Linked DNA regions of Arabidopsis thaliana. The protein of the gene in region 2 interacts with the protein of the main gene of each other region in a pairwise test. Each region holds a gene or a part of one and is shown on either strand. Other genes may lie near its edges. The genes, in order: TIFY8, KNAT1, BLH8 and AT1G35560.

Region 1 (7,599 bases), about 11 Mb from region 2:
ACGTTTCAATAACTCTTTAGCTTTTCGAAACGCTTGAAAATTGAAATGTGAGAGCCAATCCAATAATACAGTTGCATCTTATTTCAAAACTACAAAAGTATAAAACTAAACGCAAACGTGATAGTTGAAAACGCAAACGTGAAAGTTGTAAACGCAAACGTGATCCTAAACGCAATGTCGAAGTGAAAGTCGTGATGGCTCCGTCGTATCTGAAATCGTGGTAATTGGTGATGGAGAAAGACGATAACAGTGACAAGGTTAGCAATTTAGCAGGATCTTCATCGATTTCTTTTTGCTTAATTTTGATTCCTCAATCGAAGGATGAAATGTTCGATGATAACTTGATCTGTTAGAGCAAACTCTGATATACTCTGGAAACCACAGGTTTGTCTTTCAGTGAAGGAGAAATATACGTCAGAGCAGCCTGAGGAAATGGTGACAAATCTGAAGGCATCTGTAAGAGAATTGAGTGTGAAAGTGAAAGAACAGGTGCTTTGTTTCTTCTTTCCTCAGCAAATAAAGTCTCTTGCTTCTATCTTATGGTGTTTTTGATCAAACCGTGCAAAGGTTTTTACTTTTGTTGTCATTTGTAACTTAGAATCAGAGAAAATGTGATGCTAAGGATAAGTTGCAGCAGTTGCGAGAAAGAATAAGCAAGGAAGTTGTTGATGTTTCAGTCCAGGAGTTGATACCGCTTCTTAGATCACTCAAGGTAAATAAGTGTTGAGATGAGTAAATTGTGAGTGGCCCTAGGTGATGTAACTTTAATAGTTGTAGGATTTTTCAGGAATTTGTGAAGGAGGAATCTGAAGTCAGGTCTCGTTGTAATGTTAAACGTTCTGCTTTAGAAGATGCAGTTCATGATTTGGAGGAGAGAGCTGGTAAGGGGCTTGATGGTGAGATTCAAGAGGAAGATTTAGATGGTTTGTTGGTTGTATCTTTAGATAATCTCACTTCAGCAAAGAAGGTATACTCTTTCTATGCTATAGACAGCCTCTATGCATCTTCAGCATCATGTAGTTGAGATTCAGGTTTTTTCGTTTGTGTTTCTAAGAAGTTTATTGTTGCATTTCCCTTCATTTTACTGTAGGAGCTTGGAGCAACGCTAAGAGAGATAGTCTCTCTGAAGCGACAGATTGACGATGTGCCATGCCAATCTGAACTCCTCCAGTATGCTCTTCTTCCCCCACTTTCTTACTTCTAAGATAATATGCCTTGGATTTGGCACTTTGTATTTGTGTACTTGTTCGCGTTGAAACTCTTTCATCTCAACAATTTTTTTGATTTAACCCCACCACTCCCACTGGTTTGATGAGCAAGTATCTTTGATTATGTTGTAAAATATATGAATCATCATGTCAGGAGTCAAGTTAATTTGCGTGTAGCTTTGTGGAATCCAGTTTTACTATGGCTAATTTCCCACTTGGTGTATTTATTTCACGCTAAATTCCAATATTTCATTCCGTGCAGATATGAAAGAAGATTCTCAGAGCTGAATGTCTGTATTCAGGTTCGAATAGTCAAATTAATATTTGCCTCGTTGCTTTGCAGGTTTGTTTCTTAGTTGAAAATGAACTTGCTAGCTTGACGAACATTTGTTTGATATCTGACTAAAAACAGGAGAAACTTCAACAAACTAGGAAGCTCTATGCAACATACAATGCTCTTTTAGAAATCAAAGATTTGATGCTTAAGGAGACATCATTATTGAATTCCATAGGTTCACAGGTAAAATACAGGCATTATTATTTTGTTGATTTTCTATAACTAGCATCATCTGCTTTGTACTGTTCTCCACGTTGTACCTTTAGTTGTCATGTACTTATATCGTTGAGAATAGCTTATGTTCATTACTAAGTTGATTTACGTCTCTGCTTTCCCCTTTTAGTATATCTCTTGGTGAGTCAAAGTTTCACCATAATTCCGTTGACTTGATTGTAGTTTCAAGACGTGATTGGTACTCCTGCTGGCCGTGTGAAGCTTATTGATTCAATGGAAGGAGTCATGAAAGGAATCCAACAGGTAATCTGAGTTATATTGAATCAGGTATTTGAGGCACAAAGCATGAACTAACCCATCTTACCTATCTATAGCTGTATGATTTGTCATAACAAAATGTTTAAAGTGCAGAAGATTGGAAAAATACAACTTGGGCTTCAAGAAGAGCAGAGGCTCCGTGATGCTTCAAAAGAAAAGTATATAGCTGCAGCTGCAGAGCAAAGAAAATGCTACACTGTACTAAGAGCATACCAGGTTAGCACAAGATAGGAAATAAGTGTTTATACTGAAAAGCCCGAGAGTCATCTACTTACGTAGTGCTAAATTTCTCAATGGCAGGAGGAATGTACTAAGAATGAGAGGCTGAGAAGTCATATATCTGCCATGAACGAACACCTCTGACTCGAAGAAGGGTTTGAATAAGGTGATATGAAGTGACTCTCCTTTCGAGTTACAGCTAACCAGAGTAGAGCCAGAGTTGATTTAGATATGATTCTCTTGTGATGTGATGTATCCATATGCTCAGCCTTACATGGAAATATACGAAAATCGATAGGCCTAGAAATAGTAGGTTTGGTTGACCAATATGTTTATATATGAGCTATGAGAAAATATTATTCTCTAAATCATTGAGGAGATGAGTTTGAATACAAACCTAGAAAGGTACAGAGCATTGTACAAAGCTATCAAGTCAACAAATAACAACTTAGAAGAAGTTGACCAAAAACAAAAAAAAAACAAAAAAAACAACAACTTAGAAGAACAGCCACACTCATCGTCTCTCATATTCAGACTTTAATCATGTGGCTTCTTTTTCAGGATCTGATCTGTGAACCGGATCTCTGATATCTCGTCCCCTTGAGATGATGCTTCCTTGATGCTCTCTACCTGCAAATCATACATGTACATGGTTTTATGGCTCCTCAAACAGATTCAAGTTGATAAAACCCAGAACAGTTGATAACTCTTTACTGTTGTATCCTCATTTTATTATGTCACAATGCAAAATAAGACCTGATTACTCTACTCCACTCAGTATTTGTAAGAAGCTAACCAAAATTTCTGCTGAAATCTGGTTTTCTTTAAAAAGAAGTCACCTGGTTGTGTAAAGATCCGGTGACAGGCACTGGAGGTAGGTTGATGACTCGGCCTTGCACGAAATTCCGGGGGCATTTGTGGTGTTTCCTTAGAGCTGCCTCCTTCATACATTTGGCCTAGCTTGTATGGACCGTCACTTGTGTTGTTCTTCGACTTCGGTTTATGAGACAAACCCGTAGACCATGAGCCTCCGCTTGATCCTGCCAAGGCCATTATCACATCCGCCTGCAAAAAAATAACATTCATCAGATGAACTTCTCAATTCTCTACCTTTTTAGATATCAAAATGTAGTCAAATAACTTGAATATCAAGTGTATAAGTGTTAGGGAGAATCACCTTGTTTGGGTGAACGTCATCAAAGACATGAGCTTGACCGCCATAGAAGATGGTCATTTGCTTAGTACTCGACGCCAAGTCTTTCCGATTTCCGGTACTGCAAATACAAAGTGTATTGAAATGACTCGAAGAGTATCGAAAGACCAGAGACACAAAACACTAGAAGCTAACTGACTTTGAAGGGGCAAAACTTTCGAGCTTGCTTGAGTTTGGCATTGTAAAAGAACTCAAGATACCGGGACCTTTCATCCCTGTTCGTGAACCTTCATCAGCAGCTGTCTGAGCAATAACTGATGGGCCTACGTTCTCATCTTTGAACCTGCTAGTAGACAGCTGATGAAGCAAATGACTGATCTGTCCTCCTCCGCGTGGAGGCTGGTTTGCCAAAGGATTCACATTCATGGAGAAGCTTCCAGGTCCGTTTCTAAGCAACTAGGTTATGACAATGACATATTACAGAAACTGAGTTCTACGTAGCTGTGACCATGGTGAAGTTGTGTAGGTTCTGTTTTTTTTTTAGTTACCTTGGACCAATGCAGAGTCTCTGGGTGCTCCTGAGTCGTGAAGTGAGAATCAGAGTTACTTCTCTTATTTCCTGAAAACCGATTGCTCATGATTGAGCCAGAAACATCACTTCTTGGTCCAAACAATTGTATCCCATCAAGATGATTCCCACCGCCGCTGTGTCTTTCGACTAAACAATGATAAAATATGGATAAGTAACTTAAAGATTGTTGTGGGAGGGAACTCAAGGAGATAGAGAGAGAAAACGAGAGGCAATAAAGAAGGGCCAATTCATATAAAAAAGGATCACAACCTCAAATGGCTATGACCCACCAAACTCATCAGTCAAATTCACTCTCAATGTCCCAACTAATCCACCAGAGGGCATTATGGTTGGGCAGAGAGAGAGAGAGAGAGAGAGAGAGAGGGAGAGTCCTTAACACTACAAGAGGTCAAGCAACCACATGCCCACACACAATCCATGTTCATGTTTCTTAAATTGTCGAACTAAAAAAGCAATGAGGCAAGAAATGAAACAAGACAATGTACATTCACATTTTGTTCAACCTTATGAACCCAAAGATGTTCCATTTTCAACTTAAGAGATCTAATCATAAATGAATTGACTAAAAAATTTGAAACTAACTCACATGATCTCTTACATTTTCAAATCATGGTGAATCAAAGCTCGATCGTTAATCCAGACTAGGGGGAAAAGAAAGAATCCAACTTTAAATCGAATCTATGTAACAAAAGTTGAACTTTCTATAGATAGAAACCCTAAATGTACAGAGGAATCAGCTCAAAACCTCATCAGCGTAAGCACACTACGTCAACAACAACAAAAACATCAGGAGAGAGAGATAGAGAGACAGAGCAGAACCGAGATCGGAGGTTGAGGAGAGACCGCCGAGTCCACCGGCGGAGGAAGCAGAAGCCGTGGAAGGAGTCATCGCCGCTTTAGCCGCCTTATTATCCGGTGGTAGCCTATGGTCAGCCATGGAAGTGGATGCTAAAGTAGGATTCTTGGAGCCTAAAAAGTCATGGAACAAGAGCTTATCTTGTTCTGTCTGTCGGAGACGAGAATCAATATCAGTGGGTCGCTGGCCATTGTTGTGGTTCACCATCATGAAACCAGTGTGTCAGTGTGGCCACTTCGCCACCACATCCTCCGTTACAGTCTTTCTCTCTGTCTCTGGCAGAGTATTATTTCATGGACACACTCAACGAGAGAGAGAGAGAGAGATATTATCAGTTTTTTGTTTTTTGTTTTTCTGGGTAAGTGTATAATAAAGCTTGTCTTTTTCTTCTTCAAGCTACTTTATTGGGTTTCTCTTACATGATTTTAATTCCCTTTAATATTATAATAATCACATCTTTCAAATAATATATGATTAAAAGTTCAGCCCAAAAGAAAAAAGTACGATTGTAAAATCATGGCATTATAGACTCTTTTTAAATTAAGGTTATCATAGATTCATAATGTTATTGATTTGAGAAAGTGAGTTTGTGTATCTAATCTAACCAACACACTATAATTTGGTGTAGTAGTACAATGTTAACTACTTTACTCATATGTGGTTGTTAGATCGATTAGTTAAATAATTTTTATACACATAATTTTATCATTACGCGCCAAATAATCTGTTTTAAAATTAAAATGCAAAATGTATGCATATAACTTTACCTAAATATATGGTTTTGAGATGAGAGTTGTTGAATTTTGAATGATTATAAGTGTTTGATTTCTTACTCTAATATGAGTAAGAGAGAGAACTCATGAACCAACCACTCATGACGAATTTCTATACTCTTAAATGAAATCGATTTTACAACTACTCATGACGATTTTTCCCACTTTAATCTAGTTTAATTATGGAGTATTTAAGATGTTTATTGAAACCACCAAATTAGTATTAGCTGATTTTTTAATCAACTAGTCTCCGGACTGTGATTAATTGGGTTGATAGAAGTATAATGGTCATTTATATGGGAATTGGGAACACGTGTTGTTTTTCTTGTTCTTACTACACAAACCTTAACTAGATGTTTGTGATATGGAGGCTCAAGTATCTGGGTTAACAATAGAGCTAGGGGTAAACTTTCCAGTAGGCTTATGTTCTTCCCATATGAACATAATTCCTTCAACGACAAGACATAGCACGTGTTCTTCAAACAACAGTAGCAGGTCAACTTTAGCAACATGTTTGCTCCAAGTAGCTACCTGATATATATCCACAAGAATTCCAACTATAAAGAAAGTACTCAATAGATATTAAAAATCGAGGCTCTTCAGGAGTACCATTCATGAATAACATAACAGGGTGAGTTTTTCCAAACGATTCTTGAGAGCATCAGCGGTAGATACAGGCTGAGCTCGGTCTTGTCCAGAAGCTTTCGCATTCTTCTTAACAGTTTCAAGAATCGTTGGCCCTGCAGCCAACCCTAAGCTTGCAGGAGTAATAGAACCAGCAACTTTGCCAACTTTATTAGCTAAACTTGATGGATCTGCCCCTTCAAGTGTATCCACAGTTTTGCCATCCTTCAATAAGAAAAGGATTCAGTGCAGTGACAAAGATTCAAGCTTTGTCAATAAGCCAAAAAATTGCAACCAAACAAAGAATCAATATGCCTAAAGTTTACCTTGAAGAAGACGAAATACGGCACAAGAGCAACAGAATAAGCCTCAGATATCTCAGGATGTTCCTCAGCTTCTACCTAAGAAGATAAATAAAACCAATCAAAGTCAAAAACCAATTGAAAGAGATAAAATTCGAACAGAGACGACGAACCCTAAAGAAGTGAGCACGAGGGAAATCAGTAGCGAGATGAGAGAAAACTTGATCCATCTGCTTCGAAGCGTCACACCAAGAAGCCCAGAAGTGAAGCACGAGTGGTGCTCCGCTGTGGCGCAAGTTATCAAGCTCCTCCTTTGAAACGATATCCTTCACAGTACCACTCATCTTCGAAGAGGAAGGAGATGTCGCGTCTCTCTCGGAAGGATCTCCAACACTTTTTCTTTTCTTTTTGTGATTACCAATCTATTATCGAGCAGAATTCTTCTGTTGCTGGAGAAGGAAAAGAGATTTATGTAACTAAGAAAAAAAAATGGTCGGAGAGGGAGATTTGATTTTGTGTCTGTATCGTACGTGTCACAAACTCTCAAAAGTTTGATAACTGTCAAATATACCACATGACAAGTAAACTATCTTTTACTGGGTTATATAGTTGAAAATAATCCGCTAAACGATGATAGTGAATTTTGTTGTTTAAGTGACAGTAAGATGGCGAACAAAGTATACTATATGATATGATTGTTTGCACAATTGGTAATCTCACTGTTCTGCTTTCTTGTTTCCCACTTACTTTTCTTGCTTATCTCACATGAAACAGAAACAATGCATACTAGATGCTTCCCTCAGACATAAATCATCAGAAAGTTAAGAATAATTTTTTAGTTACATAAATATTTGTCTTTAAAATTGCTCAATCCATCCATCTTCTCAAAATATATACAGGGAAATTATAGGAGATGGAATTAGCGCATTGTTTTCCAAGTGAAATATTCCAAGACTCAAATAAGTTAAATGGGCTTGAAAAAATTAGCACTAAAAGGCCCACTTAACGTCTTTTCAATTTATAATTTAAAGATAAGTCGAAGA
Region 2 (8,332 bases):
TTTAATTTTTTTACGATTAAATGAGTTTAAATGACGGTTTGGGTTTACAAAGGAGAATTAGGGTTTAGATTTTGTAATTAAACGAGATTATATATCGGTTTGGATTTATAATTATAGCTTTAATTTATTATGTAATTTAAATAGGACTTGACATGGTATGTTTTTATTGGTTAATGCAAAAGGAGGTGAATAAAGGGGTTTACCCCTAGGGGTGAACCCTAGTTTCTTTAATATATAAGAGTGGAAGAAGAGAGATAATAATGATGACATGAAGAGAGAAAATAATGATGAGATGGCAAAATTGATATTTTCCCCAAGTGATTTGAATGTTGAATTAGTTTCATAAAAATAACTGATTAAATCATTTAACAATTTTTAGTAAAACATAGATTTTTTTGTGTGTATAACATGATTTAAATTTTTGAAATCTGATACAAATTATTAAAATAATGAATAATATTTGTCTAAAATACACAAATACAATAATATAGAATGAAACTAAATAGTATAAAACGAACAGTAGACAAAGAATTGAGTTAAACCGATATGATCCAAAAAAACTATAACCTATAAAATACAATATTGGCAACCCAAGCAACCGAGGTACACCGTAGTGGTGACGTTGACAGTAGCGGTGGTGGTGGTGGTGAGTGGTGACGGTAGCGGTGGTGGTGATGACGACAATGGTAGTGGTGATACTAACGGTGATGTAGACGGTGGTGGTTGCGACGATACAATTGTGGCAATAACAGTGATAAATGATCATGGTGACTTGGTGGTAGATGCTAATGGTAGTGGTGGCACTAACGGTGACATTGACGGTGGTGGTTGCGATGATATGGTTATGGCAGTGATAATGATAAATGATGGAGTTAAATCGATACGATCCAAAAAAATTATACTTTATGGGATACAACATTGGCATCCAAGCAACCAAGGTAAACCGTAGTGGTGATATTGACGGTAACGGTGATAGTGGTGGCACTAATAGTGACGGTGACGAGGTGGTTGCGGTGATACGGTTGTGACAGTGACAGTGATAAATAATTATTATGACTTCGTGATGGTGGATACTTATAATTTTTGTTTTGTTAAGATAGAATAGAAGAAGAAGAAAGATAAATATTTAAAATAAATTAAAAAATAAATAAAAGAACTATGTATCCTACAACATGGGGCAAATATGGCATTATTATAGATTATACATAGAATATTATAGTCTTATAGTTAGAATAGCTAGTTAGTTAATATAAGTTTTTTTTTTGTTATACACTCAAATTTCCCAAAATACAAATAGTTGAAAACTAAACTAAGTGTCACTAAATCATCTCACCAACAACTCTACACTAAAATTGTTTTTTCTCACCTTTCACATGCAATTTTCTTAATTTATATATATATATATATATATGATGTTATATTCTTAAAAAAAAATTTCAACTCAACTTTCATTAATTAGATTAAATGTAATCAGAGTGAAGTAGAGATGAAATACATCTTGGAACATAATAAAAGAACATAAAATCTTGACCAATTCGTGATTGATGCTATATTTTTAATTAAGTTTTCAAAAATGACTAGTTTTGCAAAAAACTCTTTAAAAACATTAGTAAAAAAAAAAGGATGATGATGCAAGAATTGGAGCTAATCCATCCTTTGATCACTTGATGAGCAAGAGTTCCAAACTTGCCACGCGGAAGGTGGGATGATGAAGGTGGTGATCTAACACGCTGGCGATCGCTTCTCTCGTGTGGGATCGATTCAAGGGGAATTGATGGGTAGTTGGGTGATTGACTCGCTCAATCAGTTGGGTAATCGACTCACTCGATCAATGAACGAATGAAGGATGTTGAATCACTCAACAAACTTAATCCGCAGATTCCTGACGTACTTCATGACTCACTCACAAAGAACTAAAGAACAAATGACAAAGACTCAACTTTGACAAGAAAACGTTTCTGTTACTTTAAAATGATCAAGGGTTGCTTTACAATGAATGAGAAATCAGCTTATATAGAGCTGAATACAATGTTCTAAGGCATTAATGAAAGAAACAAAACATAAATGAAAATATTGGACATTAATTGTAGAATATGTCCAAATAAGGCAAGTGAGATGTGCCTTGTATCTTGTCAACTTGGGGAGGAAGTTGTGACGTCTTGGAAGGTTCTGGAGGGTCTCAAGATTCTCACATAAGCGCACAAACAAAGAAGGAAAGAGTTGTTGGTAATCGATCTCCTTCGGCTCCATATATGGCAAGTAGTAGCTCAGCGGGTTCTTGTGTGGTAAGATGTACCAAAGTTCGTGTGGTATAAGTCTTGTGTGGTCTAGATGTTCTCCTGGTTTCCATATGTAGCTTTGAGGTGCGTCCAAGTGTAGAATAAGGAAGATTTCCTTGTTTGGCTTCATTTCGTGCGGTACTTCAGAAGGTAGTTTCAGCAAGTAGTTCAGCCGGTCTGTTAGCAAGTACATCAAATATATGTACTTTTGATATCTTCGAATCATTTGCTTGGTAAATGATTCCTTGATGACTTGATGTTGCCTCGTTAAAAACCTTTCTAGGTAAACCCATTGGGACAAACCCTAGATAAGGGAAAAAGAGTGCAACGGTCATATCCCCACAATATGGTGACTCGGCTCGCTGGTCTTTGACCCTTCTTGAATCATCATTAGTCTTCTTAGAATTAATTTGCTGGTGAATAATTAACCCTAGGCCTTGTGCTTGATTGAGACTCCAATTGGGCAAGAGTCCTCCAAAATGCTCTTCATCAATCGGTTTGATAAATGTACCGGCTGATTTGGTATGGTCCCGGTTTGGTTTAATTTGGATGTCCGCATCAGATGACGAGTGGGTGCAAAGGGAGAATCTTTAACTTAATCTTTCGACAATAGTTTTTTTTTTTCTGGTAGTGATTCCATGACCTATGTATTATGATGTAATGCTTTCGCATAAGTCATAATATATGCCTGAAACCGTGTTCGAAGCAAAGATGGTTTTGAGACTTATCAACTATCGATGTTTTACATTTTGTGGATTTTGTTTTAGCTTGTGGAAAGGCATGTAAGAATCCATTAGATCAATTTGGGTTTTGTCTTTCAAAACCATACATTTCATGCCATATAAAATAAAAAAATGGAGCAACACCTTTTCAGAATAGCATTTTCCTTTCACACATTATTAAATAAAAACATTAGTGAGAAAACAAAAAAACAAAATACACCGAAAAAAAGAGAAAATAAAATGAAGGGATATTTCTGACTAGGAAGTCTCAAACTCCCCGAACGACATAAGACATTACAAAAGGCGTGAAAACAAAGAAAGCTATAAGTAGCAAACTGATGTAGGGGAATTCAAAACATGAGTTGTAACAAGAAAGCAACGAGAGGTTGTTATTATGTGGCTAAAGCTTTTGGATGTCTTATGGACCGAGACGATAAGGTCCATCACCCATGTAATGACCATCCATGTACAGAGCTGCGTGGTGCGGGTGCTGCAGACCATCCATCACCATGAACTGCATGTCTTCAGATGGTTTCCAGTGACGCTTTCTTTGGTTTATGAACCAATTGTTGATTTGTTTCTGATCTAACCCCGTTGATTCCGCCAACGCTACCTTCTCTGACTCCTGCCACACAACTCAAACCAACCATCTTCATTTATGTAGTAATCAATGTATAAAAAGCAATGCTAGAGATAATCGAAAATTATTTTTAAATGATTCTAGACATAAAAATGGAAAATGACCTAAAGTTTGTTGTTTTGAACGATTCTCTAAGTAAAATGACTAACTTCATTTTTCTTTGACATCAAGTAACGACTAACTATATGTTGTCTTATTATCTTTTTAACAACATGTCATTTATATTTACCAATATTAAACATGTTTTTTTCACTATCATTACAGTCGGTTAGATTAGTTATTTCATTTCAAACTAATTAAAACTACAAAAAAAATTAAATTGTTTCAAAATATATGGATAAAAATTTCATCACAAACTTACATTTTTTAAAAAAAAGTGATTGATATACGTGTTAGAAAATAGTATGTTAAGGGTTAGAACACCATGACTAAGATATGTATCCTAGTGACTAATTCTAGTGTTGTGAGCATTCGGATTTAAAACCATGTTGTTGGAAACCGTACAAGGATTTAAACACAAAATCGGTCATGCAAGTACCTACTTGGCCTAACATAGCGGCTTCAGAGGGAATTGCTAGCTTAAAGATAGGTTTTTAAAACACTTAATTTGTAGTATATATTTTAAAAAATATGAGGGCAAAGAGAGATGAGAGAAAATTTATACGTACAGAAGGATATGGCCACTTGTAATGCAACTCCCACCACGTGAGAAGCTTCTGCCGTGCTTCTTTAGGAAGTTTACCTTTCTTTTTCTTCTTGGATAGTTCTTGCTTCAAACTGCTTAAGTATCCACTATACTTCTTCAGCAAATGGTTCTTGAGTTCCCGATCTTCGGCCCTCGGGTCTATTTCCGGTAATTCTGTTTCCCCTCCGCTGTTATTCTCTTGTTCTTCGTCTGATGATCCCATATTGTCACTCTTCCCATCTGCTTCAACATAATATATTTCATGAAGTTAAATGGTTTAGTCATTTAACAACATTCTAGTCATCTACCTTTATGATTAGACTAATTAATCCGAGTAGAGATTTTGATGTTTTAGCATAACGAAATCGAAGAAGATAATGTCCCAAATAAATCTTCACGAGCAGCACCAAAAGTTCTTGTGATAGTACTTTTGGGCCGAGTGAAAAGAAAAAAAACAAAAATAAGCCCCACCCATCTTTGGATGGATTCCACAATGGGGAAAACAAGAACAAATATGCACACCTATTTGTATCTTACATACTTTCCAACAATAATGCATCTCAATTATCTTAATTATCTTATAATCTTAATTAACATTTGAAAATGTATGTAGACTATGATTTTTTTTTTTTTTAATATCTCAATGTTACAACAATTTACCATGAACCAAAGAAACATGCCAATTTATGCAATCCATCATTAGCCCTACCTTGCCACTACACTTTGTTTTCTCCAGCCATTTCTTACATGTGCATATATGTATGTATATGAGATTGATGACATGTACCAGGATTGTTGAGGATGTGAATGGGACTCTGACACAACATGCTAAGCTGAGATTCAATACGACGTATAAACTCCATTGCTTCCTGAATGGGCCTTGTTAGCTCCTCACGATATTTAACCAACATGTCACAGTATGCTTCCTATTCATACCAAAAAATAAAAAAGGAAAATCAAGACTTCTAACACATATACACACAAAGAACCGACCCATTTAATTAAAATTCAACTTTGGTTAGTAATGAACCATGAATTGATCTAACTCCGGGTCTCTAGAGGAGGCAGAGACAGACGGTGTTGACCGCTGTTGTCGAGCCTCAAAGTCTTGCCGTGCCGCCGTAATTCTATCAACCACATCAGGTGGAGCTCCAATCTATATAAACCATGACCCATGAACATACATATATATGTCACACATAACTATATATTATATCTTTAAAAAAAGAGTATATATTATAACATAACAATAAGAATAAAACCAAACCTTTTGGCAGTCCAAGTAAGCTTGTAGGAGGGTAGAGTAGTGAGGATGAGCAATGATTTTAGCCTTCATGGCTTCAACATCGCTTACGTTGTCATTGTTGTTGTTGTTAGCTTCTTGAGTATTGTGGATGGCTCTCATTAACATGGAGTAATGATTGATTCTTGAGGAGCTAGCTTCAGATTTAACAGATGGGTTGTTGTTGTTGTTGGGTTGATCATGATCAGATCGGAAGCAATTCTCGGTTGTTTGAGGGAGAAGAGAGCTCATATGTGGAAACAACATGTGTTGGTGGTGATGATTGTTGTTGTTAGTATTATTGTAACCAGGACCATAATTGCTACTATTATTATTGTTGTTGTTGTTGTTGGTATCACTTGTGTTATCGTTTTTGTTGGAAGAAGAGATTGGAGAGTACAAGAAACTTACTCTTTGAGGAGTGGTGCTGTTGTCATGCTGGTATTCTTCCATACCCAGATGAGTAAAGATTTGAGAGAGAGAGAGAATATAAAAATCAAAGAAAAAAAATAAATTAAAAAAAAATAAAACCCTAGAAAAATAAAAAAGGATGGGTGTAAGATGAAGAGGATGTATGTATTCTTGCTTTTGTTCTTATTTCAATCAAAGGTCTCTGTAAGACTATAACCACATCAAATCCAGACGACTAGACGACTCATCTATGAAATCAAAAAGGCCTAACTCAAATTAATATAAAAAAAGAGAGAAAATTTTGTGAGGTGAAGTTGCACCCAAAGAAAAACCAAATAAATTGAAAAAGATATATTTGAGGAAGAAAAAACGAACTAGGTATATAGAATTCGTCAAGGAAGTGACATGGAAGAGAAGAAAATAAAAAAAAAAAAAAGAGAAAGAGAGAAGAAGAGAGAAAGAGAGAGAGAGAGAGATTAACAATAATGAAGAAGTTGGGTGGCTTGAGTGGATTGACAAGACGTCGTTTGCTTTGGGAGCAAAAAGAAATATTTGAAAATTAAAATAAAGGTAAGAGAGAAGGGACAAGAGATAAGGCAAAGGCTTCTCTCTTCTGTTTTCCTCTCATAGGCTATTTTATACATTAGAACAAGACTAAGTAATTTACTTAATTAAAATGTGGTTTATAATATTCGAATTAAGATGAACCACTCAGTGTTTAAGCAACTAGGTCTTCGCGGCTACTTCAGGCTATGGTTTCTTGCTAGGTTGAATGATATATTTTGTACTATTTTCTAGTAATGAAATGTTTTTTTTTCTTAAAAGAATAGTCAAGAAAAAAGTTTTAAAAAAAATATGTATGATTTATATATACTTCTAATACGATATAAACCCAAGAATTTGTAGTCTAGTGGTTGAACATAGAGTTCGTTCAACAAATTGTGATCATGTGTCACATTATAATTCTATACTTAGGAGAGGGGACTACGTTTATCTTGTTCTGGTCCTCGGTTTCACTGTACGGGTTTCTGCCTAAAACTTACGGATAACAAAAAAAGAATTATAAACAATATGATAGAAATGTACATATTTGATGCAAGACTTGGATGTTTTTGGAGTTTAATCAAATCGATGAAATTATAATTTTAGTTTTCGTAATTTCGTATGTATATTAGTGGAGAGATCACACTATCCGAATATTTGTTATCGGATAGAAGATTACATTAGAAACCGAGAAAAAAAAAAGGAATTATAAAAATGCTTTACAGGATAGTGGATATTATACGATATTCTGCTAATTTCCAACTATTGGCTCTATGATAAGACCATGCTGCAAACACACTTCTTTCAACACTTGTTCTGTTCCACGGTCAACATTCAATTTTCTATTTAATCTCGATTTATATTTCATGATTCATGAGACGTATAGAGTGCCTATGAATTCATTTTTATACAAAAAGAAACGAAAATCCTAGGGTTTTATTTATATATAAATCGTCAAATCCTAGGGCTCTAGATCAAAAAGTTGGCTCATCGATAGATTTTTTTTTTTGTTTACCTCATCACTGCACTAGACCGAAACTTACATTGTGACTTGTGAGAGTTTGTAAACAACAAAATGTAAGATTTCTTACAAATTATGACTTGCTATGCCGGAAATTTTGATAGTAAATATTTAAATATATATGTATACATATATTATTTCTTACTATTAAAAAAATAAAATCAGCTGCTTAGAACCAATATTATTAGAATTTCATTAAAAAAAATCGAAAATGTTAAAGGTTAAATTTTTGCATTCGAAATGTTTTCTTTTCCTTTAAGACCTCCTCTTATTTTCTGTTTCAGTATAAGATGCTGAAACATTGACATCATAAAAGATCATTCATTAAGGGTACATCTTTGAATTAAATATCATAATATTCCAAAACACAAGTGCAATAGACTAAAAACACACTATAAATAAGTCTCTGATCCCAATATTCTCATTAATATGGTCATGCAAGAAGAATATATATATATATATATATATATATATATATAAATAAAAATATTATAATACCCATAACCATATGGATCTAATTTCTTATAATTTTCTATTAAAAAAAAAATTGTTTTCAAAAGTGTGTACAATTTCATAGAATTCTATCTTTTAGATTAGAAAGTCAATTATAACAATAAAATAAAACATTCAATTTATTATATAAAAATTCACCGGTAGGCATAGATTGTTCTCTAAATTTATTAATAAACTCATTTACTCATAACTATGTAACGACTTGTATGAGGTTATCTAAACCTGCAATAAAACAC
Region 3 (8,376 bases), on a different chromosome or scaffold from region 2:
CACCACAGATCTCAGACTGAGATTTCAAAACAAATTGCAATTCTCTTTTACACCCAGTACGAACCTGTGAAACAGCCACAAATTCTCCAGTAGCCGTACCTTTCGCCATCGATTCAAACGCAAGAACTTGTAAAATCAATCCCTTAACTTCCTATTAATGTCGAAAACCTAGAAAACGCATCGATGTAGTTATGGATTCATATCTATGAACGAGTGCGATTAAAGGTTCAATTTGTAGGGATTCGCTTATCCTAACCAAAAGAAGAAGGAGAAGAAATTAGGGTTCCGTAGTTATCACCAGAAGAGAAGGGAGAGATAAAGAAGAAGTTGAAAAAGCTGTTTTGATTTTCTGAAGAAGACTTAATTTATTTTTATTTTTTGAAATTTTATCTGTTGTATTTTTATTCGAAATTTTCTCTAATATCATTAGTTTTGAGTTATTTCTTAGAAGCATATATACTTTTATTGTTTTATGATTTAACCCCTATAGAAGTATATTCTGTAGCTTGGAATCCTTTTTCTTGCGATGAACTGTATAGGATTTGAATGTGTCTTGTCAAAATCTTGGATGTTTTTTTCTTGTTTGTTTTGTCTTAAGCTTTCGAAGCATACTTTGGTTACTTGCATGGCTTTGTGTAAAATGAAAATAATGTAGCAAAATGTTTTTATTTCCCATGAAGGAAGGATTTCATATGTGAGATGTATTGTGTAGAACTGGTCAATTTCACGTAGAAATTTAGGGCTGGACTGGTTTATACGTAGTAGATGTGGTTGCGACTGTTGTAGTTTGTACAGATGAGCGGTTGTTGTTTCAAGCATTATGAAGCAGATGCGTTTAATTTAGCGGTTGAGAATTGATACGTTTTGCGGAAGTTTTATGACTAGTTAACAATTAGGTACAACAACAGTTAAATCGAAAATGATCAAAAAAATATAATTTATAATTATATTAAGTATTAAAACATTAAATATTATATTATTATTATAAGATAGAAAATAATTTAACTATAGTTAATAATAAAAATTATTTAAAAATTCTACATAATTATTCAAAATAAATAAATTTTTACGTAAAATGCTTTTTTTTTTTGATGTAATGCATTTGGGACACAATGTCTCCCGAGTTTATTATATATAAAAGTTTGTTTAGGACACGTATTCACAGTCTTGTTATCACTAACAAGTGTCTCTAAAATTGGCGGAACATAATCAAAATGATAACCTAGCTGTAAAAAATAGCATAGTTAGTTATCATTTGCGAGTTAATTAGCTTTCTTATACAAATGAGAAATCCGGACAATTCAGTCCCTTGAATATATACCGTCATGGCGCAAATATACCAAAAAAGACAGCGGATGTGGCATGTCGTGAGAAATCCAACCGCCACCTCCGATTAACTTCCACTTCCAAAAAGTTCGCTTTCCTCTCCCACGCGATGTACATGTCATAATAACCCCCTCCCCTCCTCCCCCACAATTCTGCCAAGAGAGCCGAACAACGACCAATATTTAGAGTAAATCCTTACACGAACCTCCAGCTATATCTCGGATAACTTCACCAACTTCATCCAGCCCACACTCGGTGCCACCCACCCTATCATTCTTTCCACTCGTTGTCTGGTGGACTGCCTCTCCTTATTAGCCAAATTGGCAAGTTATACAATAAAATTTTAAAAATCAAAGTTTTGTTAAGTTTAATTTAACTTAAAAATTTTAAACCCACAAGGGACGGATCTTAATCTTAGTATAACATAAAAGAAATAATTAAAAAGGTTTTTAACAAAAAAAATAACTAAAAAGGTGATCAGAGAACTTTGTGGCCCTAAGTTAGGAGTAACCATTTCAAGACAACTTTGTTATTTTCACTCTACCCAAAATACATAAAGGTGAAACAAAAGCAGAGGATTTTCAACCCACAAAGTCATGAAACATTTGGCTTCCAGTTCCAAACTGATGATCCTGAGTCTGCGTTTGGATAACATTGTCCACACCACGCCTAAGCTCTAACGTGAGTGACACGTTCCCTCTATTGAACCCCACCATGTCCATGTACTCTAACCTCGACCGTTTTGTCCCGGAGAGGCCCGTTAGCGTTTGTTCATGGCTCGGACTGCTAACAGTATTCGGTCTATTTGATGGCTCAATGTTGTGACTAGTATCTGCATTTTTAATTGCTTTGGTCTCAAGTGTGTGTATTTCTTCCACCATAGGTTTCCATAATCGCACACGGGCGTTTATGAACCAATTTGATACCTTTAAAAAAAAACACGAAACCAAGTCAGCAAATCTTGTCAAAAACCAAACCTAAAATTAGGTGAAGTCTATACTAAAGAGTTTTTGCATGTGAGGATAATGAGACGCTCTTTGTCCTGACATGGTTCATGGTGGAAATGTTTGAAAAAAGTTAATCTTCTATTTACACGTAGAACAATTTCAGTTTTTAGTTACACATGCACTTGTCTTTCATAAAATCTAGACTAATTCTATATATGCATGCTTTACTTTAACATATAAGATTGATGTTATTTGAGAGTAAGAAATTCTAAAACCATTAGGTTATTGTCCCATCAACATGCTTTAAACCAATAGAAGAAAACAGGACCGGCCAAGAGCAATAATTCAAGAGACAAGCATATTTAAAAGTTTCACCAAACAAAGAATTACATAATTGAGCTACCTGGTTACGAGAGAGACCAGTTTGAGTGGCTAGCATCTGCTTATCAGAATCAGTGGGGTACCTAATAACAGTATTAGCAATAAAGGATATGAGAAATCACATCAAAACATCATATCAAATAAAATCAAATTACATCAAAAAAATTGTGAGGCTTTACGGATGAAGAAAATGGTCAAAGAGCCATGCTCTAAGAACAGCCACTGCACGTTCGGGCAATCCCCTTTGAGGCCTCCAGATATGTTGTTGTTGAGATTCAAACCCGACATTGTTACCAATCAAAGATCTTTGCCTCTTTTGGAATCGGTTGTTGTTGTTACCGTTTGATGAGTGACTTGAGATTTGCTTCACATGTTCAGCTATTGCGGTTCTAAGGGCCTTGAAACTTCGTGAAGTCCGTTTGAGAGCCAACGAGATATACGGTGTTGCGGTGTTTAGACCAGCCACTGTATTGAAGGAAGACATAACTGTTTGCAACTGATGATTATATAGTTTGTACCACTTGCAAACCTTTTCAATGTCACAAGTTATAACATGTTAGTTTTGTAACGAATCTATAGATTAAAACATGACTGTGTAAGAATATAGTTTCACAAACCTCTTCTTGCAGAAAGAGAAGTTTTGCTTTCTTTAGTCTATTCTTGGGTTCTAATGGCTCAGAAGAACTACTAAACCCTGACAAGTTATCATCATCATCATCATCATCCTCCATGGAAGTAGATTCACTTCTACTAATAATCTTTGAAGCATAAGAGATACAAAACTCTTCTAACATTTTCTGAGCCGGCTCCAAGAACCTCGAACTCTTCAGTATCGATGCATATCCCGTGAAAGGCCCGAGTGGGCCGTGAATATTCATTGTTGACAAAACAGCTGCATTTCCAACGTCTCTAGATGGAGGGATATCAGACAAAAGTGAGAGTGGAAAGCCTTTCTTACTATTAGTATGAGAAGTGGCAGTAACATTCACTGGTCCGTGGTTCCAGTTGCTTGCATTGTGCGCAACTGATTGATTCTCCAAACTTGGGAGAAACGAAAATTCTCCTCGGTAACTTCCAGAAGAAGAACCTTGATCATAACTGCTCCTTAAAATCTCATTACCAGTACCCGAACAAGCCACCGTTACACAACCCTTTTGATTATCGTCTAGACAAGAAACTTCACTTCTCCTAATCATGCTAGACTGAGGAATAGAGTCCCGGCCGACATAAAGAGGACGGTCCAATATTTGGTTTCGAGAACTGAAATGATCGGACAACAAATCTGCAACGTTGTTTGGCCTAATACCAGCCTGATCATATCCGTGATTCACGGTACTAGGTTGTGACAAATCACTGATTCTCCAATTACTAGGGCCTTGTGGGTCTCTATGTATCGACTGAGGCATGTTCATAAAGGTTGCGGCAGAATCTTGATACAAATCGGTTTGAACCGGTACGGAAATCTGGTTCTGTAAGATACCAATCAAATCAAGGTTGTTGGGAATTCTGATGTTCTGATGCTGCTGCTGAGTCCAAGTGTTGGGAAAATCATTCATTTGCTCAACTCTAAACTTATCTCTTCGGATTTGTTGAAAATCTGGTTTTATCATATCCATCTTTATGTACCTTTTGATATTCTATCATAAGAAATTACCAACAAATTAAATATGCATGAGTTCCATATATATAGCAAATTAATTAATAAACATCTGTAAATTGGAAGAGGTTTTTTTTATGATCACAGAAACTACAAAAGCGAGTTGTATGAATGGAATAATCGTTAGACTGTTCAAAAAAAATGAAATTCTTACTAACATGAACTTAAAGATCCAAAATTAAAACCAGTTTACAAGAACATAAAGATTCATGCGACAGGGACCTTTTAGCTAACATAATATATGCATTAATTTCTATATAACCAACAACAATAACAACAAAAGAACGACGACCTTTAATTAAATTTCCAAATGAAAAACTACAAAAAAAACAGGGAAAACACGAAATGAGAGATGGACGAAGTAAAAACACCCAGAAAATAATACTTTTTATATAAGAACAAAACCCTAGGAAACTTCAAGAACAACAAAGAGAAGAAGAACAAGAAAACAAAAAATAAGGTGTGAGAATATAACTAGTATTCGGATTTAAATTTGGTAATATATATCATAATCGTCAAGATTTCAATTTGGAACTATAAGTACCATGAGCAAAACAAATACTCGCGAGGAGAAACAAAATGAATAAGGTAAGTGGAAGTGATAAAGACAGATAGATCTCAGAAGAAAAAAGGGAACACAACACATACCGATCGGAAGGTGGCCGGAAAAATCGTCGGAGCTCCGGTGGTGAGTTTAGATATGTATGTAAACCGACCGTGGGAGATAGAGAGAGAGACTGAGAGAGACTGAGAGAGAATAATGATTGCGTAAAGCCGTAAAATCTGTAATGGTTTTTTTCTTGACGTATTAAGGTGGGTTTTATCAGTCTTTCTATTACACGGTACTGTACTTACTCTCTTAAAAATCTATTTTGTCGGTTTTTTTCCACGAAAATTATTTTCTTCTTTAAACTGATACACATGTATCAATATCCAAATGAAACACATTTTTATACAAATTGAAACATGCAATAAACTACGGAATATCTAAAAAACAATAAAATTAACGGCCCTAAAATTAATTTTAACTAAATTCTTTAATAAAATAAAATAAAATCATAAGTCTATAAAGTATTAGTTATTTTATGGTAGTTTAATGGTTAATAATTGTTTTTTCATATAGAACATAGGAATGTGGTTAAATTTCAGAATTTTAATACACTTTTAACTTAATTATTTGTTTATATGAGGCACTTTAAGTTTTAGAAAACTATAAACACATATGCAAAACATCAAACCAAATTATGTTTTTGCATGTCTTTTGTTGCATGCTCTATATATCCTAACTATTTTTGCTTAGTAGTCCACTAAATTGTTTCGTTTCAATCACAACCACTCAAGAAAATAATTACAATAGATTACTAAAACAAGTTAACAACAGTGTTATTTATTTACTCTTTTTGTCGTAATGCTTTAAATTACATGTCTCTTTCTTTTCATCGGACAACTGTTAGTGTGTTTTTTTGTACATCAGGACAACTGTTAGTTTACTCATGTTTTCTACATTGTACATTTTGGCAGTCAATTTTACGGCACGGTTTCCATTAAAGATATGGACGTCATCTTATGGTAAGCTGCATCTTTTGAGGAATAATACATGTAGACGTCCCTATTTATAATTTTTGTGTTACGTAACTTCCCTTTTGTTATTAATTAAGTGTGTTTATTTGGTCAATTCACTCAATCAAATCAAACCCAACGCCAAACTGCAACTATTTATGTGATTGACGCTTCAGAGTTGAAACTGCCACTTTTGTCAGATTTATTATCTCACTTCCCAACTTTTCTTTTCCGTAACTAGTGAATTTATTCATGGGAAACTAATTTAATGCATGGTATATGATGCGTACAACAAGCAATACTTATATGAAAAAAGATTTAGAAACAAATTGTATTGGCTTAACTAAATCAATTAATCATGTAGCAATTAGGTGATTTGGAGTCTATTCTCTGTTTAGAAAAGTAGTAACTGTTGTCTTTATGAGAGTTTCTGTTTTACTTAGCGGGTAAATCTACTCTAAGCTAGGTGTTTTCATCCACTTAACATGTATTTTATAATCTCATGGTTTTCACAAGTCTTAAATTGTACTTATTAGTTTGGTCTAAATATTACTCCCTTTGTTTCATTATATTGGATGTTTTAGGGATTTTATTTTGTTTCAGATTATAAGATGTTTTACAAGTTTAAATTTAAATTTAATTTGACTATTTGTGACTATTTATATTTTGCAGTTTTCATTATCATTTTTTTTAACAAAATCTAAATACTATTTTTTATATACAAAATGACCTAATATGTATCCATTTACCTTAAACCTCTTATATTTTAAAACAGAGTGAGTACATTCAGTAAGAGAATGGATAAAAACGAATTTGGAATACACAAACTATAAAAGTTTCTTGAGTACTGTTTCTATTATTGGGCCATAAACAGTGAGACAAACAGGCCCATAGAAGTAGGTGAAAAAGGCTTATTAAGATCAACGGTTCTCTCGTTACGAATGCAAAGAATCTTCTGGATCCTTTTTCTCTCAGCTACTCTCTCCATTTATCTAATAAACCCTAACCCCTCCTCCCACACTATTCGTTTACACTAACCACTTCCTTATCCACACCAATCCAGAACGTTCCTCAAAAAGCTCCCTCCTTTTCTCTCAAAATGGCGTCTGCAAACGCTCTCTCTTCCGCCTCCGTCCTCTGTTCTTCCCGTCAGGTACAAAGTTTGTTCCTTTTTACCTTCCTTAGCTACTTACTAAAGAAGAAAATGAATCATCTTTCATTACTTTGTTTTGATTGGATTTGACCCTTCAGTGTTATCTATTTTCAAAAACCTTTCTCTATCTGGTTTATTGGGTTTTTGAAGAAAGTGATTGAATTTGACCCTTTAGTTTGTTCTGTTTCAATTCAATTGCTTTTCTCTATTTGGTTTCTGGGTTGGTGAGAAAAGGTTAATTTTTATGGGAATTAGAAGAAACTGATTGAGATTAATGTTAATGAATCTGCTTTATTGATGTTGTGGGTATACAGAGTAAGTTGGGAGGAGGAAATCAGCAGCAAGGTCAGAGAGTTAGCTACAACAAGAGGACAATCAGACGTTTTAGTGTTAGAGCTAATGTAAAGGAAATAGCTTTTGACCAGCACTCTAGAGCTGCTCTACAAGCTGGTATTGATAAGCTTGCTGATTGTGTTGGTCTCACTCTTGGCCCTAGAGGTATTTGTTAATATTAGTAGCTCCTTTACTCTTTCCATCTTCATCTGTGTTATTTATCTTTCGACTTATCTTGGTGTTTTCATTTGTTATTCTTAAGGGAGGAATGTTGTGTTGGATGAATTTGGAAGTCCTAAGGTTGTGAATGATGGAGTCACCATTGCTAGAGCTATTGAGTTACCTAATGCCATGGAAAATGCTGGTGCAGCGCTTATTCGTGAGGTTGGTGTAGCTTTGTTATTGTCTCTGTTAATGCTATTTATACGGTGCGGTAATCTGGTGTTGTTATGTGGTAGGTTGCGAGTAAGACTAATGACTCTGCTGGTGATGGGACAACCACTGCGTCTATCCTTGCTCGGGAGATAATCAAACATGGATTGTTGAGCGTCACTTCTGGTGCGAATCCCGTTTCACTCAAGAGGGGAATTGATAAGACTGTTCAAGGTCTGATCGAAGAGCTTCAGAAGAAAGCTAGGCCCGTGAAAGGTCGTGATGACATCAGAGGTACTAACTTTGCAGTGACCTTCCTTGTGATGCAGCAATGTTTGATTTCTTTTACTGATCAATCTGTTCTTTTTTTTTTTTCCAGCTGTGGCTTCTATCTCTGCTGGAAATGATGACCTTATAGGGTCAATGATTGCTGATGCCATCGACAAAGTTGGACCTGATGGTGTTTTGTCCATTGAATCTTCATCTTCTTTTGAGACCACGGTCGAAGTTGAAGAAGGGATGGAGGTATGAGTTTTTTTGTCTTGCTTCTCTTCAACTGTAATTTTATTCACCATTCATTGCCAATGACTAACTTGATTATTTACAGATTGACAGAGGTTACATCTCGCCTCAGTTTGTTACAAACC
Region 4 (6,394 bases), on a different chromosome or scaffold from region 2:
AATTCTGTTAGTCAAATTACCAACTTTCAAATTTAGGCTATTTTGAACATGAATTTCGTATAAGGCTATTTTAATCATCAACTAAATGTTGACCCGGCCAAAAAAAACATGATTTTAAAATCTACTAACATAACCACTAACAACTGTTATCAATCGTTAACGCACAACAAAACTAAGACAAAAAAAAATAAAAAGAATACAAATAACCAAAACACATGACTACAGAATAGTTAACGACTGATATCGGCTTTTAGTGGTTCCGTAATCACATTTTAACGTCATGTCAAAATTGGTCTGATCAACGCAATTTCATGTTTAATATGGCAGTCAACATTTAGTTGATATTTAAAATAGCTTACTATGAAATTCCTATATAAAATGGCCATTTTTTTAAAGTTGAATGATTACATGACATTTTTCCCGAAGAGAATGTTGAGAGTGATTTTATTTTTTGTCATCAGATATTATTTAGAGTTCAGATGAACCAAGATTGCGGAAAATTGTTTATATAGGTAATATGTAGCGGTTTGACACGAATTTTTCTTGCCAAATACTCCGCTTTGACATTGGTAATACGAGAGAAAGATAAATAAAAAATATGAAATAGTCAATACACGAATTAATAAAAGACAGAAGTTAGGATAAGTAATATTTTTATATTTGCATGTTAACGTTTTCTAAAATATTACTGATACACGTATTCTAGCAATTGTAATTGGTCAGAATTATGTAACAAGTCTTATGTTAATATGTAACTTGCTAAAGCTTAAGTTAGGAGCATGCTTCTACATCCCATATATGATAGATATATAAATCACAAGTAAAATAAATCATATTCTTTCTTCTTGACATGATAACATATTATTTCTAATATATTTTAAATATATTAAAAATAGTAAATATATAAAAATCCCAATAAACCATCTATTATATACACTTCCGAAATCAAATCCAATATTTTTTTTAAACTATATCAACTAACTTGAAAATATCAATTATCAAAATATATATCCGGGCTAACCCCTAGTCACATTAAAAACGGCATTTCGCCTGATTACCCGTCCAGCCTATTTTTCAAACACATTGGAATTTACTGTGGCATAGGAGTTCTCTCTGACGTGTCCATGTTGCTCCACAAGTGGACAATTTTTTGGTAGATACTACAAAAGTATGATAGACAAAATACGAATTTTAAAAGAGAATTAATATATAAATCTAAAAACCCATTTGTATCCAAACATGTGGTGCTCATGCACCCAATAAAGTTTATCACTACAGTCTACACCATATAATTTTTTATTTATATTCGTTAGCTTTTTACGAACTGCAATCAATTCGAAATATTTGAAATATATGAGCGGTCAAAGAAGGTGTATTCAATTATACCCTTCAACAAAAGAGAAAAGGCATTCTGATAAATATTTAATTTATTCTTTTGTCCATTATGTTACACATAGAGATTCAACTATATTTCCTTTAAGTGACATGCTTTTGCATCGAATAAAAAGAGTTGCAAAACTCGTTAATTATTATGCAACCAAAACAATAAATCCATTTTCTTAAATAACAATTTGGCAATCCCGAAAAGCCAACCCTAAAACCCATATTAACATTGGAGTCCTCAACAAAAGTTGCAATAAATCACACATTCACACTTTTTAAAAACCAAAGAAATCATGAAGTCTTTCAAGGAGAACCATCTATAGTAGGATTTTGGTCTCTAGTAGCATGATCACTCACTTGATGTTGAGGCTTTTGCTCAAGACTCATTCCGAGACCAACCCGACCACCGTCTCCTCCTCCGCCGGAAAATAGCCCCAAATTGTTATTTTCTGCAACACCTAACCCTAACTGTTGACCTCCCACTAACATAGACCCTAGCTGAACCGACCCGATTCGACCCGGGTAATGACCCGGATTAAACGCCCACATGTGCTGTGATGGATCCTGAACGTTAGCCGGACCTCCTCCTCCTCCGACTGGTAACATCCAAAAAGCACTACCTCCGTTTGTGGAGGCTGGCGTTGGCGCTAGTGCCCACATCGGCGGTATCATATTTTGTGTTCTTGACCGGGTCGAACCCGGATCTTGATCAGGAGCTTCGGATCCCGGTTTAGGTGATCTTGAACCGGGTTCTTGATCTAGAAAATTAGGATCTTTAAAAAGATCTTCTTCACGGAATGTTTTGGGAAGAGAAGAAGAAGAAGAATCTGTCGTGATATGATGAGGATGATAAAGCTGTTGCTGGAACCCAAAAACGGCAGCGTTTTGAGCCGCTCTTCCCATGTGGAAAGATTTAGACAGTGGAGCTGAAAGAGTAGAGCCACTGCTTCGAAGAGAGATGTTCAAAGTAGAGATATTCGCCGGTATGGTTCCAGTTCCGGTGGCTGCGATGATAGCTGGCTCCGCTTGTTGGAGCAGCCACTCTATAGTCTCGCCGTCCGATTTGTGTTGTAACTCACGTGTTAGTTGGAAGACACGTGCTGCGCAGATAGCCGGCATACGTATCCTCCGGCCACGTCCGTCTACTTTGATGTGACGGTCCTTGGACGGTCGTTTTGCGGGTGTTTTAGCGGCGGTGACGGTGGTGGTAGTGGAGTTTGGAGCAGTGGTGGTTAATGAGACTGAACCGGAGATTGGTCCCATGGATGGGACCAGATGGGCCGAACCAGTGGTGTTGTTGTTGCTCTGGTTGTTGTTGTGGGACTCCATATTGCTTATAAAATTTATAAATTATGGGGAAAAAAACACACAAGAAAATGGAATAAACAAACAAACAAACTTGTACTGAATTTTTACTTATAACCTATAAATTCTTGGAGTATTTTTTTTTTCTGGTGGGGCTATGAGTTTGTGTTGACTGTTGTTTACTTGTTTGGAGAAAGAGAGAGTGAGAGGAAGAAGATGAAGCAGCTTGTAGAAAAGAGAGAGAGACTTTCACTTTCTTTTTCTTTTGTGTTTTATTTTCATTTGTAGTCCCACTAGGTTTTTGTAGTAGAGAGTAGAGACCAATATTTGCTGTTTCCACACCAAATGATCACTTAACCTTTTTTTGTTTGGTTATTATCACACTTACTATATTGTAGTATAAAAATAATTATGCGCCGAATGTATTGAATTTTGGTCTAACTTTGTGAGACTAAAACTATTTTTAGCAATGGACTATGAAAAGTTTGGAAGTGTTTTACATGATTGAAAAAGGTGTGGATTGTCTAAGATTATAATTTTGGGGCATTTTTGTTGCAATCTTTAGATTGTAGGGATCTATTTGTTGGTTTCCTTATAAAGTTTGGCTTTTAGGTTGGATTTTGCATGGGTGGGAAACGTTGAATGTTCTATGGGGGAAAAGAAAAAAACTAATCACTAATCATAGAGCCAATTTACACCCAATATAATAGTGTTTTAATATTATTTATTTTTTTAATAATTTACTGATAATAACACAAATGTCTCTTTCTTTGATTCTCTATTTTGTCTTTGTTATCCGAATTTGATGAAAGACTTGTTGAGAGATAAGGACCACTGTTTTTATTAACGATGATACTAATAATTGAAGACTATATATAAAGGCTTCAATTCTTTTCCCATCTGCCAAATTAGCACCCACAGACATAGGTTATATATAACTAATCATCTCAACTACAATTTTTCTCAACGAAACCTATACATCTCATTCTAGATGTGAAAACTGTCTAAGAATAGTCCAATTTCAGCCTACTATGTTATATGCACATGTATCAGGGTGTTAACAAAGTATTCGAAATCAAAAAGTTTTAAGGAAAATAATTATGCAAGCGTAGTAAATCAATTAGTTTATTGATATTCACGTTGCTCTTAGTGATTAACCATGTATGTATAATCATATTAGTATTAATGCCTATTAACTGATTTATTGCAATATTTTAATTCATAATTGAATATTTAGACTGTATTATTGTTTCATTTTTTATATCAATTAAATTCCTTTATTAGGTTTTATGTTTTTATCAATCCAAAACCATATAATATATTATATTGCTAGCTATACCATTCGGAATCTTAATTTGGACACGAGCTTGAGCTTTTTGGCTGTTCTTAATGTAAGTTACATGTACGCACCGTGAGCTAAATTATAGATAACAATGAAAGTGAAACCAAACCACTATAAAAAAAACTTTATATTTGAACAGTATATTTTATATAATTTATATATATATATATATATATATATGCAATTATATTTTGAACTGTATATATAATCTCTCTTATTTTTTATTTTCCTGAAAAATAATTGTTGAGACAGATGCACGTGTAAGCATTAGCAGTGAAAGAAAACAGTAAAACAGTCAGAGATAGTTGAAGAAGTACAAGAAGCGAGTGATAAAAAAACGTGATGTTTGGTCTGAAACTCTGGATCCTCCCACGGTCCATTGTCTTGTCTCTGTTCTCTCCAAAAAGTGAAAATGTTCATTTACAAGACCATATAGTATGTAGCCTTGTTCAAGATTCTGTTAGAGCACCTTCATTGGATGGAGACTCATTGAGTATCTAAGAAATAAACTATTAATATTTTTTTATATACATTTATTTTTAAATAAATTATTTTAATTGCTTAAAAAAGTATAAAAGTATCAACCAATTAATGTTTTAAATGTGTAGGCAAGACGTTAAAAATAAAATAAAATGGTGAGAGAGTGAAAGTGTTAATCACTCTTCGACCATATATATCTCTAAAATGGTGCTTTTAAATTGTTTTAGAATCATCTACTGCCTAAAAAGCCCATGCTTTACAGGTTTTAGCTTTGGGTTGGTCTTGTGTGTAGGTATGATCTCATGAGTTCTCATCCAAAAAACAATTCTACTCTCTTTCATTCCCTTTAATTTCACTCATCCCATTTTACATTTCTTGTAAAAAGTTTCCTCAACCTTTCACTTCTCTTTGATACCACCTAGATACATAGAATCTCGTATTTCTATAATCTTGTGATATACATCGTACTTTTTTTTTTTTTTTTTTTAATGTAATGTTAAATTAAATCCAAAAAAAAAATAGCGTTTTTACATCTATGTGCAACATTTTGTTGAAAAAACTGGAGCAAAAACTAGAATACAATCTAAAAATTGTTTCTCATTCTCTCATCGCAAACCAAGCTTGTAAGCCCTTGTCATATCTCTTATCTCCACTTGCTTTGATCGAACAAAGCTGGTTCCGAGTTTGTTTGTCTATTCATTTGATTAAAAGAGCTGCTGAGTTTGGTTTCTCTCCATGATTCCTTCCGTTCCTTTCGCGCCAAATGGTGTGTACCGTGGCTTGAAAGAGATATCGCGCAAAGAAACTGTCAAGCGGTGTCATCCAAGAGCCGGAGATGGCTTGTATCAGGTCTTGCCAATGTGTAGAAAATCTGTCTCCATAGATTCCTCTTGCTAAGTTACTCCAAACTATCGAAGCAAAGTCACAGGAGAAGAAGAGATGATCCCGGGTTTCGGGAGCGTTGTGACATAGCACACAAGCGGCTGACTGACCTCCATTCCAATGAGTCATTCTGTCTCCTGTTGAGAGTCGGTTAAGAACTGCTAACCAAACACAAAAAGAGTACTTTGGCGTGGAATGACCAAACCAAACACCCTTATACCAATCAACGTCCATGGATATGGTCCGCATATGATTCAAGGTCTCTTTAGTCAAGAACTGTGGCTTATATACGTCATTTTTACCTTTCCAAAGAACAATGTCCTCATCCTCTGTTCTATCGTTTCTTTGTTGTAAGAGAGCTGTTTCTATGGCCTGAAGGTGAGTAGATCTGTGTCGTCTTTGTCTATAGCCTTCCCAAGCCTCTGCTACTGTTTTATGCTTACTTATTCCAAGATCAATTTGCCCCCGATCACCTACAACATCGTACTTCAATATTTCTTCCTCCGATAATTTTAGAATACTTTTTCAATGCTTTGTTTTTCCTTCTCTCATAGCATGTGACTAATATTGACAATCTTCTAACTCGTCTTTGCATGAAATGTTGTGGGAGACTCTTGTCTCAATGGTTCTTCCATAGTTAATTTTTCTGTTTCAGTTAAATGTATTTCAAATTTAGCTTTTAAATTTTGTTTGGGCATGTCTGTCTTCTGACTTTGTAAATAACTTTTTCGTTTCGAGGTAATATATATTCACAAGTTATAAAGAAAAAAAAAAAATGTTGACGATCTTACTCCGTTTTCAAATGTGTTAACAGCCACTTTTTCTGGTAGATTTTCCGGTGAAAGCACTAATTAGAAAACCAGTTTTTGGACATGATGGAATCCTCGTCGAGAACATTATATGCTGGTGTATTGGAATGTCATAAATAGAGTTTGCTTCGGTGAGAAATGGAGGTGTAAAATAGCTAGCTTAGAAAACTTGAAATGTTGACTTAACGGTCAA

The links.
Region 1: the proteins of KNAT1 (region 2) and TIFY8 interact in binary tests that used the Arabidopsis thaliana proteins (3 or more experiments, as listed by UniProt).
Region 3: the proteins of KNAT1 (region 2) and BLH8 interact in binary tests that used the Arabidopsis thaliana proteins (3 or more experiments, as listed by UniProt).
Region 4: the proteins of KNAT1 (region 2) and AT1G35560 interact in binary tests that used the Arabidopsis thaliana proteins (3 or more experiments, as listed by UniProt).

The regions. Positions count from the first base shown.
Region 1 is NC_003075.7:15,713,636-15,721,234, forward strand, and holds TIFY8 (TIFY domain protein 8), read right to left. Parts: upstream 5,233-7,599; 5' UTR 5,068-5,232; coding exon 4,821-5,067; intron 4,128-4,820; coding exon 3,958-4,127; intron 3,866-3,957; coding exon 3,609-3,865; intron 3,531-3,608; coding exon 3,434-3,530; intron 3,322-3,433; coding exon 3,096-3,321; coding exon of another isoform or gene 3,031-3,095; intron 3,025-3,030; exon of another isoform or gene 2,887-3,024; coding exon 2,798-2,886; 3' UTR 2,597-2,797; downstream 1-2,596. Other genes in the region: AT4G32560 (paramyosin-like protein), read left to right, coding at 231-257, 385-489, 599-712, 788-967, 1,091-1,170, 1,471-1,510, 1,621-1,728, 1,942-2,022 and 2 more; AT4G32580 (Thioredoxin superfamily protein), read right to left, coding at 6,243-6,479, 6,581-6,655, 6,730-6,900. UniProt on the Arabidopsis thaliana protein: Repressor of jasmonate responses.
Region 2 is NC_003075.7:5,144,550-5,152,881, forward strand, and holds KNAT1 (homeobox knotted-like protein), read right to left. Parts: upstream 6,611-8,332; 5' UTR 6,062-6,610; coding exon 5,594-6,061; intron 5,483-5,593; coding exon 5,357-5,482; intron 5,253-5,356; coding exon 5,114-5,252; intron 4,567-5,113; coding exon 4,310-4,566; intron 3,627-4,309; coding exon 3,420-3,626; 3' UTR 3,150-3,419; downstream 1-3,149. UniProt on the Arabidopsis thaliana protein: May play a role in meristem function, and may be involved in maintaining cells in an undifferentiated, meristematic state, and its expression disappears at the same time the shoot apex undergoes the transition from vegetative to reproductive development.
Region 3 is NC_003071.7:11,919,633-11,928,008, forward strand, and holds BLH8 (BEL1-like homeodomain 8), read right to left. Parts: upstream 5,117-8,376; 5' UTR 4,960-5,116; intron 4,292-4,959; 5' UTR 4,271-4,291; coding exon 3,272-4,270; intron 3,184-3,271; coding exon 2,834-3,183; coding exon of another isoform or gene 2,830-2,833; exon of another isoform or gene 2,738-2,829; coding exon 2,677-2,737; intron 2,253-2,676; coding exon 1,908-2,252; 3' UTR 1,718-1,907; downstream 1-1,717. Other genes in the region: AT2G27980 (Acyl-CoA N-acyltransferase with RING/FYVE/PHD-type zinc finger domain-containing protein), read right to left, coding at 1-109; CPN60A (chaperonin-60alpha), read left to right, coding at 6,971-7,024, 7,339-7,522, 7,620-7,741, 7,816-8,023, 8,109-8,254, 8,337-8,376. UniProt on the Arabidopsis thaliana protein: Required for specifying floral primordia and establishing early internode patterning events during inflorescence development.
Region 4 is NC_003070.9:13,114,413-13,120,806, forward strand, and holds AT1G35560 (TCP family transcription factor), read right to left. Parts: upstream 2,824-6,394; 5' UTR 2,713-2,823; coding exon 1,687-2,712; 3' UTR 1,414-1,686; downstream 1-1,413.